3 linked regions of the Oryctolagus cuniculus genome follow. The protein of the gene in region 2 interacts with the protein of the main gene of each other region in a pairwise test. Links are inferred from orthologs where the notes say so. Each region holds a gene or a part of one and is shown on either strand. Other genes may lie near its edges. The genes, in order: POM121, LPXN and HOXC9.

What was found.
Region 1: the proteins of LPXN (region 2) and POM121 interact in binary tests that used the Homo sapiens proteins (3 or more experiments, as listed by UniProt). The two-hybrid records come from large-scale screens. The link is inferred for Oryctolagus cuniculus from reciprocal best matches to the Homo sapiens genes LPXN and POM121.
Region 3: the proteins of LPXN (region 2) and HOXC9 interact in binary tests that used the Homo sapiens proteins (3 or more experiments, as listed by UniProt). The two-hybrid records come from large-scale screens. The link is inferred for Oryctolagus cuniculus from reciprocal best matches to the Homo sapiens genes LPXN and HOXC9.

What each region holds. Positions count from the first base shown.
Region 1 is NC_091450.1:50,656,923-50,659,800, reverse strand, and holds the end of POM121 (nuclear envelope pore membrane protein POM 121), read left to right. Parts: intron 1-523; coding exon 524-646; intron 647-764; coding exon 765-862; 3' UTR 863-2,332; downstream 2,333-2,878. Other genes in the region: NSUN5 (28S rRNA (cytosine-C(5))-methyltransferase), read right to left, coding at 2,404-2,515, 2,602-2,742, 2,869-2,878. UniProt on the Homo sapiens protein: Essential component of the nuclear pore complex (NPC). The repeat-containing domain may be involved in anchoring components of the pore complex to the pore membrane. When overexpressed in cells induces the formation of cytoplasmic annulate lamellae (AL).
Region 2 is NC_091432.1:13,564,830-13,569,062, reverse strand, and holds the start of LPXN (leupaxin), read right to left. Parts: upstream 2,909-4,233; 5' UTR 2,845-2,908; coding exon 2,832-2,844; intron 1-2,831. UniProt on the Homo sapiens protein: Transcriptional coactivator for androgen receptor (AR) and serum response factor (SRF). Contributes to the regulation of cell adhesion, spreading and cell migration and acts as a negative regulator in integrin-mediated cell adhesion events.
Region 3 is NC_091442.1:56,963,062-56,967,396, reverse strand, and holds the start of HOXC9 (homeobox protein Hox-C9), read right to left. Parts: upstream 2,839-4,335; 5' UTR 2,686-2,838; coding exon 2,148-2,685; intron 496-2,147; coding exon 251-495; 3' UTR 1-250. UniProt on the Homo sapiens protein: Sequence-specific transcription factor which is part of a developmental regulatory system that provides cells with specific positional identities on the anterior-posterior axis.

The sequences.
Region 1 (2,878 bases), on a different chromosome or scaffold from region 2:
GCCGGGGTGCAGGGAGGGCGCGGTGTGCAGCACCGTGGGGCCTGGGGTTCGGACACGTGGCAGGCTGGGCAGAGGAGCAGATTCAGGCAGCGAGGTCGAGAGACCACACAGTAAGGCCATCAACACTGGTGACAGATGAGGACAGGGAACCGCGTGGCGGTTACCAGGTGAACCGGCAAGGACACGGAGCTGATGAGGATGGGGGGGGTGGAAACAGCATTGGGGAGCAGGCAGACGCCCCCACACACACCTTGGGCCCTGAGTCGTGAGCACCAGAAAGCCTGGCCTGCCTTGGAGAGGGCAGGTACCGTGAGGACAGCCGTGGGCCACAGCGGTGGGTTTTGTGGGGATGCTAACGAGGATTAGTCCTGGTGGAAGCTGGGACCTGCTGAGTGCTGTGCTGTGCGGTGGCAGCCGAGGGGACAGGGACCGACCCCACTCTGCAGCTGCACAGAACTCTGAGGAAGCCGGGGCGGTGCCCGCTGCCCCCGCGGCTCCACAGTGCTCTGCCATCTGCTTCTAGGCACCTCCACGCCCACCTTTGGTCAGAACGCCTCTGCCCCCGGAGTGGGCGCGTCGGGCAGCAGCCTGTCCTTCGGGGCGTCCTCCACGCCCACCCAGGGCTTCGTCGGCGTGGGAGCTTTCGGTAAGCAGCAGTGGGCTTGGCTTCCAGGCTCTCGCGATGGGCGCCCCACCCCTGCCTGCGCGCTGGAGGTGAGGAACCCGGGCACCGGCCATCCTGATATGTCATTGACTCTTTCCAGGGTCGGCGGCCCCTTCCTTCTCCATTGGTGCGGGATCTAAAACCCCAGGGGCCCGACAGCGACTGCAGGCCCGAAGGCAGCACACTCGCAAGAAGTAGCCTCGGTCTCCTGCCTGTCTCCCACCTCCCCCCCACCCCACCCCCGTCCCACCCGGCACCCAGGCCCGGACTCTGCCTGCCAGGAAGAGCCTCTGACCCTTGGAGTTGATTGAGTAAACTTCTCCCAGACCTCCGGCCTCGGCCGCCAGCAGGGAGGGGCAGCGGCGGGGGCTGGCCCTTGACTTGAACAGTCGCCCTGGTGAGCCCCTGCCTCCCGCCTCCCCCGGGAGCCCCGTGCACACTGGACGGGACTGGGAGCGGGCTGCCTGAAGCTTGACCTTGCCTGGCTGGGCTGGAGGAAGTGGCTCCCCCGCGGGCCCCCGAGGGGACCCTCTCTCCCTGTTTCTCGCTGCTCTGTTCCTCGCAGGATTTTCCCTCTTGAATGACCTTGAATCTAGCTTTGCCTTGGAGCCCCCAGAGGGTGCCGCTCCCGCTGCCCCGTCCCCTCCTGCCAGGTCACTCAGTGTTTTCGTCTCCCCCTAAGAGCTCGGCGGCTGAAGACTGTTAGCCTGGCAGATCGGGGGGGAGACGCCGCGCCCACCTCCGGGCTGTGTCTGCCTCTCGGGGATTGTACGTTCTAAGCCTTGTCCTGTGTCACTAGTCCGATGCGCGTGTCTATCGCTCTTTGAACCGAGTTTGGAGGAAGAATCAAATCGTATGAGTGGCGGCATGTTGGTAGTGCCGGACTTGTTTCCCGACTGTCCTGGGGCCTCGCTAATTGAACGTGGCGGTAACACCGCTTCACGGCCACGCGTGCTGACTCCTGAATTCTCCAGTGGTGTTCTCACTCTAAGGGCTGGCAGCCCACGAGGATGGGCCGGGGGAAGCAGAGCCCTCCATGGAGGCAGGCACCCCCGTCCGCGTCAGGAGACCTGACGTGATGGCCCACGACCCAAGGTGACCTGGCCGCTCTTCCCACACAGGTGCCCCAACACCGCCCCTCCCCCAGGCCCAGGCGCCTTGCTGCCAGCCCAGCCTCTTTGGGAGAAGTGTGAATGCGTGTGTCTAAATTAAAAAAATATTTAAACATTTTTTAACAAAATAAAAATTTATTTTTGTATTTAAGCTAAATTGCCTTTTAAATTCCTTCAAGCTTGGTTCACTGAGGTGGTTAAGTGTAAATGCTGACTAGGAGTAGCGTAGTGAGTTCTGCCTGTGCGTGGCCCGGGCCGCTCCTGGGGCTGTTTTAGGAACAATGTGATGTAGGCGTGACCCCCCCCCCACCCCGCCTGCAGGTGTCGCGCCCGGCCACTTTACCTCAGCTGCACCTGCACAGGCAGGCCAGCGGCCAGGGGCCCCTGCAGGGCCCGAGTGAGTGAGAGGGTGAGTGGATGGCGTGCGCCGGCAGGGGCTTCCCGTTACGGACACACGGATGTAATTCCTGTTGAGTCTAGTTGGAATTTTTAGTATGAATGTGAGATTTTTCTCCTTGCTTATGTCATTAAGAATAAAAAACTGTGATCGATCTCAGGCCCTGTCCTGCCTTTTCTTTCCCGGGGACAGCCACCGGGTCCAGCCGCTGGGGGACAGCACAGCCGCTGCTACGGCCCCGGTGCGGCGCAGGGGTCACCTGCCGCTTTCCGCCGTCTCTTCTTCCTCTTGGGGCCTGGGCTGAGTGGTTCCGGGGGCGACGCTGTGGCCTGGGAGGCTGAGCTAGAAGAAACGGCCCCAAGTTACGTGTGCCCCCCACCCCATCCAGCATCCTCCCGGCAGGCCCCATCCCCTACCCACGCCCTCACCTGGGTACTTGCACCCTTTCGAAGACAGCAACGAAGAAGCCGCCGGTGAGGGTGGTCTCGGGGGAGGCCCGGAGGCAGTGTTCAGCACCTGGGAAAGTGCCGAGGCCTCGGTGGGGCCAGGCAGGGAGCACAGGAGCGAGCCTGCGGAGAGCAGCGGCTCAGGCCCGGGCGGGGGGGGTGGCGCAGGCCGGGGCGGGGCAAGGGCCCGGAGGGAGGGGGCGCAGGCCGGGGCGGGGGCGACAGAGCCCGCTGCACCCACTGCCGTACCTGAAGGTGC
Region 2 (4,233 bases):
CCGCCACCTGCAGCACCGGCATCCTATATGGGCACAGGTTCGAGACCTGGCTGCTCCATTTCCAGTCCCGCTCTCTGCTATGGCCTGGGAAAGCAGTAGAAGATGGCCCCAAGTCCTTGGGCCCCTGCACCCATGTGGGAGACCCAGAAGAAGCTCCTGGATCCTGGCTTTGGATTGACCCAGCTCCAGCTGTTGCGGCCATCTGGGGAATAAACAAGCAGATGGAAGACTACCCCCACCCCACCTCACCTCTGCCTCTCTGTAACTCTGCCTTTCGAAATAAATAATTATTTAAAATAAATAAAAGTAGAGCCTCTTTTCTATTTTCTAAGCTTACCTCCAATCAGAAATCAAAGATCCTCCTGGATTAATAAAAATTCATATACAATAGAGATTATAGGAACAAGGAGAGCACACCACTGAGGGTAGGGAGCTACCCTTAAAAGCACCAGCTAATCAAACTTATTCAAGCTGGCCTTCTGGGTCATGAGTTAGCAGGCATTCTTCTTCCTGCTTCCTGTGCATGTATGTATCACCAACACCCGGAGATTAGGCCTTTGGCCAATTTATGTAATTTGAGGATGACTAATTTCAGTATGACAAATGCAGGATTATGTGTGTGGGGGGGGTGCTGGGAGATAGGGAAGTACTAATCTGAAAACTTTATCTATATAATCTTTTACTTGTGGAAATCAAATAATACCACACATAAACTAGAGAAAAGTAAAGTAGGGTTTTTTGAGGTGGGACATGGTCTCCACAAGTTGTGATTTGGAGCCAGTGCCTGCTCCTGGTTCCTTTTTCGCCTATCATCCCTGTGGACTGGGTAGATAGATACAAGCTACCAACCTCCCAGGCAGTACTGTACAGAGGAAATGTTTTGTCTGAGCCATTGTGTCTGTTACTGTTTCCCTGCAGACTGGAAGAAAACCCACCTCAAATCTTGACGGTTACTGATGGGCTGATGATAGTTGGAAGAAACTGCTAAGGTGAAGCTACCAACAGCGTGCTGAGTTGCAGCTAATAGTAGTACAACTAACACAAATGTTAGCTTCCAGGATGCTTTAATGCTTTCTACATTGTTGGGCAGTACTTTTTTTTTTTTTTTTTTTTTTTTTTTTTTACCATCCAAACTGCTCAGAAAATACCAACCAACACAATTTTTAAAATCTGAGTTATCACATTAGTTAGAACGCTTGCAATGACACTTCTAAAATAGAAGAGATGGCATTCAGCCTACTGGTTAAGCCTCCACGTGGGATGCCAGCATCTGTATCAGAGATCTTAAGTTTAAGTCCCAGCTCAGTTCCCCCAATTTCGGTTTTCTGCTAATATGCACTGGGGGAGCCAGCAGGTGATGGCTCAAGTAGTTGGGTTCCTGCCACCCACATAGGAAACTTGGATTGAGCCTGGGAGATAAACCAGAGATTGGGAGCTCTGTCTGTCTGTCTGCCTGTGTCTCTCAAATAAAAAGTAAAATAAAATAGAACTCTTAGAATAATGGATTTTGGTGCTCCTTACAGTAATATTGAACAAGCTTTGTTTTTCTTAGTTTACTCATCTGAGTGAAGTGGGTAATACTTACTTCAGAGGGTTGCTGCAGACACTGGAAATAGTTAACAAATGTGAAAATGTCAGTTTTGGCCTAAGTCACTGAATAAATATCGGTTCCCTTTTTGAACTGTCTACATGAAATTAGGTATCCTTAAAATTATATTTAAAAATCTGCACATACAGAAATTCAAATTCTCCCAACACTCACACAGCCTAAGAATTTGGATTCTAAATCAAGTCCTAAACTAGTCTACCCTAGTATCAATGTATTGGTAGGTAGACTTTGCTTCCAAAACAGTTCAATACTTATTAAACACCTCCTTTTTTCTCTTAAGTAACATCTCTTCTCTCCAGTTACTTGCCCTTCTTCCTGTTTCTTCAGCTCTTAAATCAATTTAACTCCAATTTTTTTAAAAAAAATACAATTGCAAGCTGTGGTTTTTGTTGTTTGCACTTTTGATACATCTCAACCATGCACAAGCACAGGAGACCATGCAATCAGCAGAGCTGAGAAATTGGGTAAAGGTTATTTTTGGTTAGGATGCCAGAAACAAAAGTTGGCAGAGTCTATGGAATGAGTCCCAACAATGAGAGACATAATTCTCCAAAGGTTTGAAATAAGGTTTCTCTCTAGGTAACATGACTGATGGCTCTGCTGGTGGTTTTAATTGCCTTGAAGTGCAAAGAAGCATTATATTGTCATGCCACAGTAATCCGTCCTTTTAGAATTTCTCTGAATAAAAAGCTTAGCAACAAAACTCATTGGAGTTACGCCACTATATCTTTTTGATTTAATACTAAATCACAAAAAACTGAAGCCACACTGATCTTTCTCCAACCTCTGCAGATCCCTTTCTCGAATGTCTATTCCATGTCTCCGCCTTGTGACACATTTGCCAATCCCTGACTCCTTTTTTTCACCCAGATCCCGGTTGTCGTTGCCCAGCTGTGTGGCCAACCTAGTATCTCCAGGAGCCCTCAAAGAAGAATATGCCCATAATAAAATGATAATTTTGAAGTGATTCAGTCCAAAGGTATTTGTCTGGAGTATACTTTGTGGTTACCACAGAATTCTCTGCCTATTGTGCCACTACAAAGAGTAAACCCAAAATGTTCCCAATCATAGTTCCTCAGTTCCCTCTTGGTTGAGCAGAGGACAAAAGTGAAAATAAAATCTTCCAACATCTCCCTCAAACAACTAGAAGTATACCCCCGCACATAGAGATGGTGGCTGCTGCTTCATTCCCTCTGTTTCTCCCAAGAAGCTCCTCACTCACCCAATTCCTCCATGGCCCCACACCCAGGATGCTCCGGTCTCACCAGTTGTGAAGAAGAACTGCTTTTGGCATGTGCTGAACAGAAGACCGCAAAGGAACTGAACAAGACAACGTAATGCAGCCTTTATAACCCTTTTTGGTTACTGTATTTGCTTAGCACTTCCTCTCTTTTGATTTGGTGCATTTCTTCTTCTTCTACTTTTTAAGTAGGTCACAGTTTTTAAAAGGAGACTGACTTTGAAAGGCAGGTTGTTAAGATTTAAGTTCTGGCAGTGCATTGGCTATGGTGATAAAGATCCAAAATTAATTTTTCAAAACTTGAGCACCTACTATATGCTGGGATTCATCTTGAATTCATGGGAATAGCCCATTCACACATGTGGTTTTCTTCCAAAGGTACATGTCCCATTGTGCCTGGGCTTCTGCCTTATTTTTTTCCTTCTGTGAACCTAGGGGACCATTGAGGCGAATCCCTTTTAAAATTTCCATAGCAGTTAACTAGCTCCCAGCTACTTTTGCAGTCTGTATTTGCTTAGTTATTCAGAAATTATGCTTACCTGTTTTCCTAGACAGACAGACTGAAAATCCATTAAAAGCAAGGCATAAATGGGTTCATGTTTGGATCTCAGGGGCTGACTGAGCGGATTCAAATGCAAACATCTACAAGGGGCATGAAGAAGGAAACTGGAAAGTTTTAAGATATCGCGCGTGCTTAAACTGCAAATATCTCAGCTGGGCCTAGTTACACAGCTGTGTAGCAGTGTCGGAAAAATACAAGAAATTAACTCTTCACCATTTTTACTCCTGTGACTTCATCTACCTTAAATGAAATAAAACATTACAAAAAGCCTACTTTGAGAAGGTAGTATGTAAACAGCTTTAATTGTAGCTCTGTTAAATATATTTTATCCCATTTCCCCAGTGGTGAAATAGGTTTGTGGAATCGTACTAAAATAACAGAATGTATCATTCTTCTACAACACTGGGGTCTTTTAAAAAAAAAACCAATAATCCATTTATCACTGTATGACTTAAAAAATTCTCTGTATTACTTTAAGCAGCCATTGGATGTCAGTGCTGTTCTAAAAGTCTGCTCACCGAGAAAGCGGTCGGGAAACACTGCCAGGGACGCTGGGCTAGACAATTTTTACAACTGGAAATGACCTTACGGAAATGAAAAAATGTCCCCAAATACTCAATACCAACATAATTTTTTAGCCTAACGTGGTAACTGAGTCAACACATGGGAAGGAAAACGTCCTTCGGCACTCGTCTACGGTTTAACTGAATGATTCATGTGGAACTTAGAACGGGAACCCCGGATCTTGTTTCCGTCCTCTTTCCTGTGGGGCTTCTACCCTCGGAACCCGGAGGCTTTCGTTTTCAAGGGTGAAGCGCTCAG
Region 3 (4,335 bases), on a different chromosome or scaffold from region 2:
CTGCTGGGTAGAACTAACTCTAAAACACCAATTTCTCAACACTGAGCCCTCCCATATCGCAGAGTTCTCCTCTTCCCCTTCCTCTTTTTTTTTTTTTTTTAAGTTGATTGGCTTTTCTCTATCTTGCTCTTTCCTTTTCTTTTTCCGTGCTTTCTCCCGCCTGCATGGGGATATTTCTGCGGGTTTTGTTTTGTTTTGTTTTGCTTTGTTGTTTTGTTTTTGTTTTGCTTTTTCCAGGCTGGGGCAGGGTTTACGATTGCTCCTTGTCGGTTTTCTCTTTATTCATCTTTTTCATCTTCATCCTCCGGTTCTGAAACCAGATTTTGACCTGCCGCTCGGTGAGATTGAGAACCCGGGCCACCTCGTACCGACGGTCCCTGGTTAAATACATATTGAAGAGAAATTCCTTCTCCAGTTCCAGCGTCTGGTACTTGGTGTAGGGGCAGCGCTTCTTCCTCGTGGAGCGGGCATGGATCCAGTTGGCTACGGGGTTGCCTGGAGGGCCAAACACAGACAGGGGTCAGCGGAGCCCCCTCTGTAGCCTAGGACCTGTGCCTCCCCACCCCCAGGCTTAGCCAGGCTCCCCAAACCCAAGAATTGAACCTGAATTTGGACACGTTTTGCTGTAGGAATCTTCCCCCCTTCCTCCTCCTTCATTCTGCCCCCCCCTTCTCCCCCCTTTTCAGTTTCCTAAAACTGTAGGAAATCCGAAGCTATTCAAAGCCCCTACAGTCTGGTCCTCTCAGCTTCAAGAGTAGTAATTCGAGAATATCCTCATAAAAAGTCCAAATTCCCAACCGCTTCATAGGCCCATAAACGCTTCTCTCTCTTGTTTTTTATTTTTATAGCGAGGTCCCCCTCCTCCCCACCTCCCTCCTCCTCTGCCCCCTCCCACCCTCCCAGCCCACCACCAAGTCCTGAGGTTTCAGTAGCTCTGCTTCCTGGCCCTGAGAGTCCCCCCAAGCCCCCACCCCACCCCATGCACCCTCTCCAGCTCCAGCGCCGCTCGCTCTGGGTGCAACCCTGCTGAGGCGAAATCTCAGGGTACTGTTGCCTCTCCCCAGAGAGCTGTTGCTGGCCTTGGGGAGGGCATCCCCCTGCCCAGATCTCAGCTCTCCTGCTGGCCTCCAGTGCCCCCCTCCTGCCAACCCCAGGACAGGCTCTGTGGGAGCCAAGCCTCCAATTTCAGGTTTCTGGGAGTAGCTGAGGGCAGGGATGGAAGGCTTCAGAGAGAAAGAATTAGGCCCTGGCCCCTCAGGACTCCCCCAAGTACTTCCTCACACCCAGGGGGCTGCAGCTTGCCCCTGCTGCTTCGCCTTCCCTCTTTCTCTGACCCTGGGGCTCCCACCTGCCCCCCACCTACGCTAGCCAAGCCCCCTCCTCTGCCACACTCAGGGGGTTCCACTCTCCCTGGCTGGGCTGGGAGTGAGTCCCCAGCATGGGGCATGGGTTCCTGACCCCTCTTCATCCCTGAGCCCCCATCCTGCAGTCTTCCTCCTTGCAGACAGACCTTCAGAAGAGGGCTCTCAAGTTTAAGGAGGCTCGGACCACCCCACTTCTCTCTTTGCAAGTCCTGAGCTCTCCAAGTTCCCAGGTTGGGAACTGTCCCAGCCTCCCTGGGGGAGCAGTCCAGAGACCTTTCCTGTGCTGTGGCTCTCTCCTTAGGGGGGGAAGACCCCCAGGCTGACTGCCAGGTGTAGGGGGGTGGCTTTTCTCTCTGGGGTATTTCCTCTCTCCTCACCTCTGTGCCCAATCCCATCTCAAAGCCCCAAAATAAACCTCGCCCCCCGCCCCAGTGCTCCCCTGGCTCTGTAATGCATTTCTTCTTCGAAAGTGGAGAACTGAGCCAGAAAGCCTAGGCTGAGGCTGGGTGGTGGTGGTGGAGAACAGGGGTCTCGCTCATCAAAGTCAGCTCCTGCTCGAGGAGCCCCCCCAGGCCCTCTCTCTCCTAACCTGGCTCCCTGGGCCCCCTCCTCAGATCTTCCTGCCCCTGCCCAGCTCCCTAAGGTAATTCGCTTTTATTGAGTCCTCGCCCCCTCGCCCTCGCCCCTCTCCCGCGCTCCCTGCGCCGCTGCGAGGGGCTGTAATCCGGCTACCCCCCCACCCCCGCCCGCGCCGGTTGTAAAGGGAAATTGCGCCCAACTTACTGGGGTCCAGGTCGGTCTTCTCTTCTTTGTGCTTGCTGCCGGCGAGGGCGTCCGCCTCGGGCGAGGGCAGTGTCTGCGGGGCGCGGTCGCGCAGCTCCCCGGGCGAGCCGTACATGTAGTCCGGGTAGCTGCGGCCGTCGGCCGGGCCGCAGTCGGCGCGGCGCCCGGGGTAGGCGTCCGGCTTGAGGGCGTAGTGACGGCCCCCGGCCGGGAAGCTGGGGAAGGAGACGGCGCCGGACAGCGGCTCGAGCCAAGTCCGCATGTAGCGCGTGTCGGCGCCGAGGTGGGGCTGGGGGCCGTACGGGTGATAGACCACGGACGACTGCGAGGGCACGGGCGCCCACGACGTGCTGAACACGGCCGGCTTGGGCGCGAAGCTACAGGACGGAAAATCGCTACAGTCCGGCACCAGCCCGCTGGGTCTGGCGGCGGCGGGGTGAGCCCCGGTGGCCGGAAACCTGGACGCTAGGAGGTCTTCATTGTCGTGCGAAATGAGCGAGTCCACGTAATAGTTACTGATGGGCCCCGTCGCCGACATCGTAACAGGGTTTTACATACATAAGATTATTGTATGAACTGTATATGTACTTTTTATCTGCTCACAGAACAATCAAGGCAGGTAATTATTTTTCCAGCCTTTTCCCCGCAGCTCATTGGCTCCCCGGCCCCCACGTGATCGTATTTACCCAAAAATACGGCGCGGATCAATGCGCAGGGGCTTTTTTTTTCCCTTGCTTTTTTTCTCACCCCCCCCTCCCACCCTCTTCTCTCTGCTGATCCCCGCGACCCGCGTTTTCCTGGGGGTCCGCAACTCCGGACCCCAGGCGCCGGCCCTCCGCTCAGGACGGCTGAGACCTCGCCACAGGACGCCCCTTGCCCATGTCCACCCATAAGCAGATGGCCTCCCCCGCCCCAACAGCGTGAGGATTTGGGGGGGAACGCGGGGGGGACCGCCCGCCCCCACCGCTTCCCCGAGGCCCGGCTTGCGGGACCCCCGGGGCCGGGCGGGCGCGGGAGCCCGCAGGGGCGGGGAGCCGGCCGAGGTAGGTGGAGGAACTATTTCTTGACGTAATCCGTCTCTGTCGGCCCCGACGCGCCCGCAGCCTCTGCGCGAGCCGAGCCCAGCGATTGTCAGCTCGGAACGTGGCTTTTTAAAAATGCGATTTTAAATAGTGTGTCTGTATGTATTTCTCTCAGGAGCCGCGGCAGCAGCGAGGGAGGGCGGGTGGGAGGGGACTGGAGGAAGGGAAGGAGGGACCGGGGAGCGCCCTCCTGCCACTGGCCGGCTCAGCCCCCCAAATCTGGGCCAGGGGAAGCGGGGGAAGGTGGCCCGGCGGTGGGAGGGGTGCAACTTCGGGCTCGCAGGCCCCTCCGTCATCAGCCTCGGAAGTCTTCTCTTTGCGTTGGCACGGAGAGCACAAGCGCCTTTATTTTAAATTTATTGTCTGTATCTATTTACGTTTCTTTGCCAGCTTGAAGAAGTGGAGGAGAGACCTGCACAACTTAAGTGGGGAGCGTTCGCATCCCGTCTTCCTGCTCAGCCCGCCTCTGCCCCCAGCTCCAGCTCTGCGACACAACCCCCCACCCCCAAAAAAAGAAGTCACTCCCGGGGCTCTGCCTGCAGAGAGCCAGGGTGAGAGCGGGCGAGGCGAGAGAGCGACCTCGGTCGTGGGCAAGTAGCTTGTTTTTACGTCCTTCAATAAAATTTTTATGAGGATCATTTGATTGTTCATAAATGTGTCTTTCATTAAATAAAATTGTAGGCTGTTTTTGGAACGGGAAAAAAGCAACGGAGGGGAGGGAGGAAGCAGGTTTTTGGGGGTCGGATGCAGGGATTCTGGAGGGGCGGCCATGATCGCAGGGAGAGCATCAGACAACTTAGATTGCTCCCCCATAAGTTGGGCTGCTACCCTGCTCCTTGAATTTGGGGTTCTTTGCCCAGTCCTCTGCTTCCCATCAGACTGTCCCCGGGTGGCTCAGTCAAGGGGGGTGGGGTGGGCTTCAGGCAAGCAGGAAATGGCCAGTGTGGGTGCAGGATAGTGGACAGGGGTGTTGGGGGGGAGGATAGGGGCAGGTGACGGCCCCACAGATACAGTGCGCCTAGATACGGCAGAGGGCATTTGAAGGAGGGGTGCAGGGTCGGGGTCAGAAGGGAAGGGTCTCAGACGGTGCTAGGGAAGCAGGCAGA